2 linked regions of the Cricetulus griseus genome follow. The protein of the gene in region 1 purifies or fractionates together with the protein of each later gene. This does not show direct contact. Links are inferred from orthologs where the notes say so. Each region holds a gene or a part of one and is shown in the gene's direction. Other genes may lie near its edges. The genes, in order: Vamp5 and Stx12.

The links.
Region 2: the proteins of Vamp5 (region 1) and Stx12 purify together in Homo sapiens (affinity purification with mass spectrometry; 3 studies listed by BioGRID and IntAct, with this or other methods). This does not show direct contact. The link is inferred for Cricetulus griseus from reciprocal best matches to the Homo sapiens genes VAMP5 and STX12.

Annotation. Positions count from the first base shown.
Region 1 is NC_048601.1:64,109,925-64,114,322, reverse strand, and holds the start of Vamp5 (vesicle-associated membrane protein 5), read left to right. Parts: upstream 1-1,585; 5' UTR 1,586-1,728; coding exon 1,729-1,731; intron 1,732-4,398. UniProt on the Homo sapiens protein: May participate in trafficking events that are associated with myogenesis, such as myoblast fusion and/or GLUT4 trafficking.
Region 2 is NC_048595.1:20,401,378-20,405,188, forward strand, and holds part of Stx12 (syntaxin-12), read left to right. Parts: intron 1-3,173; coding exon 3,174-3,273; intron 3,274-3,811. UniProt on the Homo sapiens protein: SNARE promoting fusion of transport vesicles with target membranes. Together with SNARE STX6, promotes movement of vesicles from endosomes to the cell membrane, and may therefore function in the endocytic recycling pathway.

The DNA of each region.
Region 1 (4,398 bases):
CCTTTTCTGAATAGAAACAGAAGAGGACTGGATTGACAGGGAGGGGCAAGGGAGCAGAGGGACCAGGAGGATGGAAGGAGGGGAAACTGAGGTCAGGATGTAAAATAAGTAATTATTTATTTATTTTTATTTATTTTGGTTTTCCGAGACAGGGTTTCTCTGTGTAGCTTTGGAGCCTATCCTGGCACTCGCTCTGGAGACCAGGCTGGCCTCGAACTCACAGAGATCCACCTGCCTCTGCCTCCCGAGTGCTGGGATTAACGGCCCAACACCCGGCAGTAATTTTTTTTAAATTACTTTTTCTTTAAATTATTTTTTTTCTTTTATGTGCAGAAATGCATCACTTGAATATGTGACTATGTACCACATTCATGATTGGTGCCCTTGGAGGCTAGAATAGGCATTAGATCCCCTGGAGCTGAATTATAGACAGCAGTGAGCAGAAATGAGGGTGATGAGAATTCAATCTGGGTCCTCTGGAGGAGCAGCCAGTGCTTTTAACTACTCAGCTAGCTCTCCGGTCCCACATTCTAGTCTTTGATTAAGCACTGGGCGATGGGCCAGTGAGATTAAGAAAGAGGACTGTTTGTTGGCTCCTCTTTAATTTTTCCCAGTTATGCAAGAAAAGCTGCAGTATCCTCATCATCACTCTGCTTCAAAATCTCCATCTTTCTGACCGGGGGAGAAGTCCCCATGGCCGGCATCAGGAATCTAAGGGGAAATTGTATGTTCTCAGGCTGGATAATCCCTGTTTGTTTTCCGACTGACTCCTAAACTCACACTATGAGGCTCTTCAGGGCCTGCCATGTAGTTTGTCTGTGTTTTATTCTCTGGGAAAGGGAGTCATTCTTTGCTTGAGTACTGCTCTGGAGGCTGGCTCAAATCTTCTCTTTTTCTTCCTCTGCCTCTTGCTGGTTCAAAACTTGGTCTGGCTGCTGTTGTCATCTTTTATTTCAGGCTGGGATCCATCCCAGCAACTTTAGAGGCTCATGCATCCACACACCACTGAGACTTTTAGCTCACAGGAATGTCGGCAGAATTTTAGCATTTAAAAAATCGCCCCCCCACCTCCTCCCACCCCGGTGTATGGAGGTCAGATAGACAACTTGCAGGAGTTGGTTCTCTCCACAATGTGAGTCCCAGGGATGGAACTCTGATAATGCAATAGATTTGGCTTCAAGTGCCTTTATCCACTGAACCATCTTGCCAGACCTCAATTTGTCTTTTTTAAGTGTACAACTTGGCGACATGTGATGTATTCAGAATACTGCCTGCTCCGTCTGAAAACAACCAGAACTTTGGAGTGGTTGATGTGTTTTCAGTTTTGGGTGGCATGCACTCACCAAGGTGGCAAGCACCCATCCTGGCATGTTCATGACATCCGGAGCACTTAGCACTCACAGATGCTTGTCGTATGACAGAATGACGCCTCCCTCGCTAACTCCTGTTGCAGTCCCAGATCCAAGAGACATCGGTCCCCAATTTACCAGGCTGGGGTGTCATCGGAAATCGGACGCTGGTGGCCCGGTAGGAGGCGCCCCACGGACCCTGTTGCTGCTTTCGGTTTGTCTGGGTCGGGCACCTCTCTGAGAAGGCGCCCCCCCTCCGCCCCCTTGGCCCGCGGGCCCGCCCCGCCCCGCGGCTTCCTCCAGGGCCGCGGGCACTGAGGCCACGCCGGGCAGAGGAGCCGGAGCCGGCAAGCAGGAGGTGGCGGTGGCTGCGGAGGCGATGGTGAGACGGGCAGGGGCAGAGGGCGATTATGCAGGGGTGTGATGTAGGAGCCCGAACCCCAGGGGTGCGGGTCACGCTGGTCGCATGAGCCAGACCCCAACTTTGCAGGCAGCCGGGAAAGGAGAATCAGAGTGCGCCCCGTCGGTGCGGAGTGAGCCGAGCTGCGCTTCCCACGCTCGTGCGGCAGTTAGCAGCTCCCGGCCATCCCGGGCAAGTCACTTAACCTCCATGAGCTTCCTTTTCCGTGCCATAAAGTAGGGGCAGCAATACCTACCTTAGTGGGTCCTTGAGAGGTTAGAGGAGATGTTTATGGTTGCTGCTGCCAGGCACTCAGAACCCTTTGCTAAGAAGTAGCAGGTAATGCGATGACCTCTGCGGGCTCTTCCCCGGGGGCTGAGAGAAGCCAGAGCTGGCCCAAGGGTTGGAAACCTGAGTAGATGCCTAGTGGAGGCCTCTCTAGGCTGGGTGCTGAAAGATAAACACTTTCCCCGGGGAAAGAGAAAATAAGTTGTTTACTATAAAAGTTTCATGAAATTATCAGTGTGACACAGGCTGACTCTTTCCTAACCTCTACCTAATGACATAATCCTGGCTTGAGTCACCTATACTCCTGCTGCAGACCTGCCATTTCTAAGGCAAAGGTGTCTGAGACCTCTGATGCCAGGATCCCCCTCCCCTGGGACTCCTGGGGAGATGGACCAGACTGAAAGCAAGTTTAGTACTCTAAGGCTGGATGGATGTGGCTTGGCTAGAGATGCCAATGTCTGGATGGCTTCATCTCTAGGGAACTAGAGGCAGGAAAGGGAAATGGGACAGGAAGGTAGCCCTAAGCTGTGAGGCCACACCAGGAAACTGAGGGAGGCTCTGAGAATGGGCTGGAGTTAAGAGCCCACTTCCGAGAGTGCAGGGTAAGAGCTGGGAGGAGATAGGGGGTGGACTTCCAGCTGGCCCTCAGCTCCTGGGGAGAAGTTCTGAAATGAAGGCGAGCTAGGCTAGTTATCTGACTGTACAGAACCTTGGGATGCTCACAGGTGCATTCCAGTCAAAGGGGGTTCCGAGCCTGGGGGATACATTGTTCCTCCAGCTCCATCAGCTAACTCTTCCTCCCTTCTTGTCCCCTTTTCTATCTCCAGCTCTTTCCCTTCCGTCATCCACCCCTCTGACTACCTAATTACTCCCACCCCTTTCCCCTTCCTTCTCTTCTCTGTGACTCATTGGGACAAAAAGGACACAGCATTTCTTTTGTGCCACTAGCACAGGACAAAGCAGTGATAGGGAAGATGGAAAGTGAGCAATCATTTTTGGCACGTGTACACGTGTTCTGTGCATGCTTATTCACATGTGTGGGCACACACATGTTTAGGTGCACATGGAAGTCCGAGGTTGATGTCCAGTGTCTTATTTAATAGCTCTCGGATTTATTTATGGAGACAGGGTCTCTGGCTGAACCTGGAGCTCACCAGCTTGTCTAGTCTAGCTGACCAGCTAGTCCTTGGGAGCCCCTGTTTTTGGCATCTTGAGCACTAGGATAACAAACAAACTGCTTGGATTTTGTGTGGGTGCTCAGGATTCAAATTCTGGTTCTCATGCTAGTGCAGTGGGAGCTTTATTTATGGAGCCATCTCCCTAGCACCATATATCGTTTTTTTAAAAAGATTTTATTGTGCTAGGTGGTGGTGGAGCATACCTTTAATCCCAGCACTCCAGAGGCAGAGGCAGGCAGATCTCTGTGAGTTCGAGGCCAGCCTGGGCTACAGAATGAGTGCCAGGACAGGCTCCAAAGCTACAAAGAAACAAGAAACCCTGTCTCGAAAAACAAAAAAAGCAACCAAAGATTTTATTGTATGTGTATGAATGTTTGCTCACATGTATGAATGTGCACCATGTACGTGAGTGCCTATGGAATCCAGAAGAGGGTGTTAGATCACCTCATACTGTAATTGTAGATGGCTGTGAGCTGGGAACTGAACCTAGGTCCTGTGGAAAAACAGCAAGTACTCTTAACCACTAAGCCATCTCTCCAGCCCCACTATAAATACTTTTAAAAATTACTATCTTGCTTGTTTGTTTTTTGGGAGACAACATCTTATAAAGCTGAGCCACCATGCCTGATTGGAATGAACTCTTTTGCTATAAAGCCCTTAAACTGCCTGTATAGACAAAGCTGTCCTTGAAGTTGCAGCAATGCTCTTGCTTCTACCTCCCAAGTGCTGGGATTACAATTATCTGACACCATGGACAGCTATAGAATAATTCTTTTTTGTTTTTGTTTTTTCTTGAGACAAGATCCCACTCTGTAGACTCAGCTGGCCTTGAACTCAGCCTACTGAGTTTTGGAATTAAATAGGTCCACAACTATGCTTAGCTGAAAATAATTCTTGAAGCCATTCATCTGGCAGAATTGGTGTGTGTAGTCGCAAGCTGAGTTGGCAGCATCAAGTGGCTGGCAGTCTTCAGCCAATCAGCTGGAGCTTCATACTCCCCTCTCTCTCCATATCTGGTTTAGCACAGGGTTTAGACTTGTGGCCCCTGGGTCTCTGACCATTCTACCCTCAGATTGGTTACCTACTGGCTCTGGACAACTTAACACCTCTGGGCTGTAAAACAGGGACAATAATATTGTCTTGAGTGGGTTCTTATGAAGATTTAGCCAGATGCCCACATGCA
Region 2 (3,811 bases), on another chromosome or scaffold:
ATGTTTCCCTGTCAATGACCCTCCTGTTGACACAGGACTCCTGACAATTTAGTCCAGTTGGATTTCCAACTCTAAATAAAAGAGACTCATTCTCACGGATGCAAAGTGACCATAAGTGAGAGAATAAATGGTCCAGTGGGAGAACTGATTTTTTGTTTTTGTTTTTGTTTTTTTTAAAGATCTTATTTATTACGTATACAACATTCTGCTTCCATGTATATCTGCACACCAGAAGAGGACACCAGATCTCATAATGGATGGTTGTGAGCCATCATGTGGTTGCTGGGAATTGAACTCAGGACCTCTGGAAGAGCAGTCAGTGCTCTTAACCTCTGAACCATCTCTCCAGCACAGTCACATTTTTCTTGACTTTATTTTTGCTTGTAAAGTTCTATTCTTGATCACTGGAGAGATGGTTCAGTGGTGAAGACATGGGTTCAGTTCCCAGCACTGAGATGGTGATTCACAACTGTCTATAGCTTCATTTTCATGGTATCCAACTCTCATTTCTGGCCTCTGTGGGCATTGCTCACATGTAGTGCACAGGCATGCATGCAGGCAAATCACCCATATACGTAAAATAATAAAGTAAAAATTTTATTCTCTGGGGCCAGCAGGATGGTTCAGCAAGTAAAGAAAAGTGCTTGCCATCAAGCCAGGGATCTGAGTTTGATTTTTGTAACTTATATAGTAGAAGGAAAAATCTAACTCTGGAAAGTTATTTCTAATGTCAGCATATTTCACATGCATCATGGCACCCCTGTGCCCACAAGCATACACACACACAAATGCACACACAGATAATAAACAAAAGTAATTTTTTAAAGTTTGATATGTGTGTGTGTGTATATATGTACATATGTTTATTTATTTTTTTCCCAAGACAAGGTCTCAGGCTGTCCTCAAACTCACAGAGATCTGCCTGCCTCTCCCTAGTGCTGGGATTAAAGGTGTGTGCCACCATCAGGTTCTCTATCTTTAAAGTCAACTGAGCTACATTACTCGTTTCCACTCTTAGACGCTGTGAAGTGAGAGAGTGACTGCTGTCACAGGGAGCAAATTCAGGGAGAGATGACCTGTCTGCATATGCTAGTGTTTCTGGGATGGTCTGGCTTCCTCTGCTGTCTCTCATGTTTTCTAATCCTAGCTGTCTACTTAAAGTGAAAAAAACGATGTGGTATCCCAGCCATTAAGGCTGCTGCAGTAATAGACCATAGACTAGATAGTTCATTAGCAAGCAAAATTTATTTCTTATAGTTCTCAAGGCTGAGGGGTGGTTGATCAAGGCTCTGGCATATACAGTGTCTAATGAGGGCCCTCTTTTTCATAGATAACATTTGGTTTTTGTTTTCCTTTTGGAATGGTCTTACTATCCTGCAGATCCATCTGCCTCAGTTACCTTAGTGCTGGGATTAAATGAGTATGTCCTTATGCTAGGCAGCTGATGCTTTCTTTTGGGGGGAGGGGAGACTGGTTTTGAGACAGGGTTTCTCTGTGGCTTTGGAGCCTGGCCTGGAACTCTGTAGACCAGGCTGGCCTTGAACTCACAGAGATCCTCCTGCCTCTGCCTCCTGAGTGCTGGGATTAAAGTGAGCGCCACCAAGGCCCAGCTAGTTGATGCTTTCTTATTGTATCCTCTCTTGGTGGAAGAGGTAAGTAGTTAGTTCTCTGGTGCCTCGTAAGGGGAATTAATGCTTTCACAAAAGGCCCACACATGCTAATCACTTTCTACTACCTCCTAATAACATCACTTGGGGGCTAGTATTTCAACATGAATTCAGACCATAGCCTATGACTTCTCTGTCACCCCTTAAAATCTTTGTAGAAATGGCCAGAGATTAGAGGAAACCATGATGGGAAGAACTTTTTATTTATTTATTATTTCTAAAGTATCACTTTTTTTTTTTCTTAGGGTTTCTCTGTAATTTTGGAGCCTGTCCTGCAACTTGCTCTGTAGACCAGGCTGGCCTCGAACTCACAAAGATCTGCCTGCCTCTGTTTCCCAATTGCTGGTTATCAAAGACGTGCACCACCACCGCCTGGCTCCATAGCATGACTTATATTTTATGTTCTTCCCTCTTGAATTTGCTTCTCTCTCCTTCCTTCCTTCTATCCTAGTATGTTGCAAACTGCTGGATTCAAATGCTGCTCCTATACCAGCCTCAGAGGAGCTGGGACTAGTGGTGAAGGCCACTGTACCCAGCATCGAGCTTCTTTATGTGTATTTTTTTATTGTGATTTTTTTTTTTTTTTTTTTTTGGTGTTAGATATTGAGCCCAGTATCTGGCACAAGAGGTAAGTGTTCTAAACAGCAGAGGGAAAAGCTATCAGGCATAAAATCCACTTTATTTATTTATTTATTTTGGTTTTTTGAGACAGGGTTTCTCTGTGTAGCTTTGGAGCCTATCCTGGCACTCGCTCTGGAAACCAGGCTGGCCTCGAACTCACAGAGATCTGCCTGCCTCTGCCTCCCGAGTGCTGGGATTAAAAGCGTGCACCACCAATGCCCGGCTCACTTTTTTTTTTTTTAAAGATTTATTTATTATGTATACAATCTTCTGCCTGCATGTCTGCCTGTTGGCCAGAAGAGGGCACCATATCTCGTAACAGATGGTTGTGAACCACTATGTGGTTTCTGGGAATTGAACTCAGGACCTCTGGAAGAGCAGTCAGTGCTTTAAATCTCTGAGCCATCTCTCCAGCCCCAGAAAGAACCCACTTTTGGACAAGAGATTAGGAATAGATCTTTGGAGTTTTTTTTCTAGGTATATAGGAAGCTGTTTCATGTAACCACCCTAGTCAGTGGACTATGGTAGGAACTGACCATGCAGAGCTCCTGGGGAGTGGTGAGACGTTTAAGTGAGTTCAGTGTATTAAAGCCATTAGGACTGGATGTAGGTAGTAATTACTCCTGTGTTTCTATCAGAATGCCGACATGCTTTTCTTCCCAAACAGCTGAAATTCCTGGCCTGTGCTTCCTTCAGCAGGTGTCATTGAGCATCTTTCTGCTCAGTGGAACTGCTTCAGTAATGAGGGTTTGTGAGCACAGGCATTGAAGCGCCTGTTTGAATGGCCCTCCCTTCCTTCCTTGCGCTGGGAGTCCCCGAGCGTGAAGTAATAGTGTGAGAGCTCTCGAGAAGCCATGGCATCCTGACACTTGTCTTCTCTCTTAGGCAACAGTTACAGCACTCCACAAATCAGCTCGCCAAGGAGACAAATGAGTTGCTAAAGGAATTAGGGTCTTTGCCCCTACCCTTGTCTGCATCAGAGCAGGTAGGTATCTTCTGTTTTGTTTATTAATAGAAAAGGACTTTATTCTGATAGAGTAGTGGGATGTGGAACAAAAGCTCTAGGAGGGCTCTGGTCTTGATAGATTTCTTTGAACTATAATTTCCTTACCACGTGCTTTAGTTTCAGTTCTGTTGTGATAAACTACTACAACAAAAAGCAACCTAAAGGAAAAGGTTTGGTTTTTTGTTTGTTTTGTTTTGTTGGTTTTTTTTTAGTTCACAATTCCAGGTTACAGTCTATTGTGGGAAAATCAAGGTAGCAGAACTTGAAGGCACTGGTCACATCTCATCCGCAGTCGAAGGAGAGAGAAATGAGTGCTTGCTTGTTCTTTTCCACATGTGTGCCCAGCTCTGCTTCTCCACCCTCCCACAGTTCACGATCTCCTGCCTAGGAAGTGATGCTGCCTACGGTGGGTTGGGTCCTCCTACACTAATCAGTTAAGGCAGTCTCCCGTAGATGTGCTAATAGGACAACCCAATGTAAACAGTTTCAAGTAATTATAGGTTTGGTAACGATGACC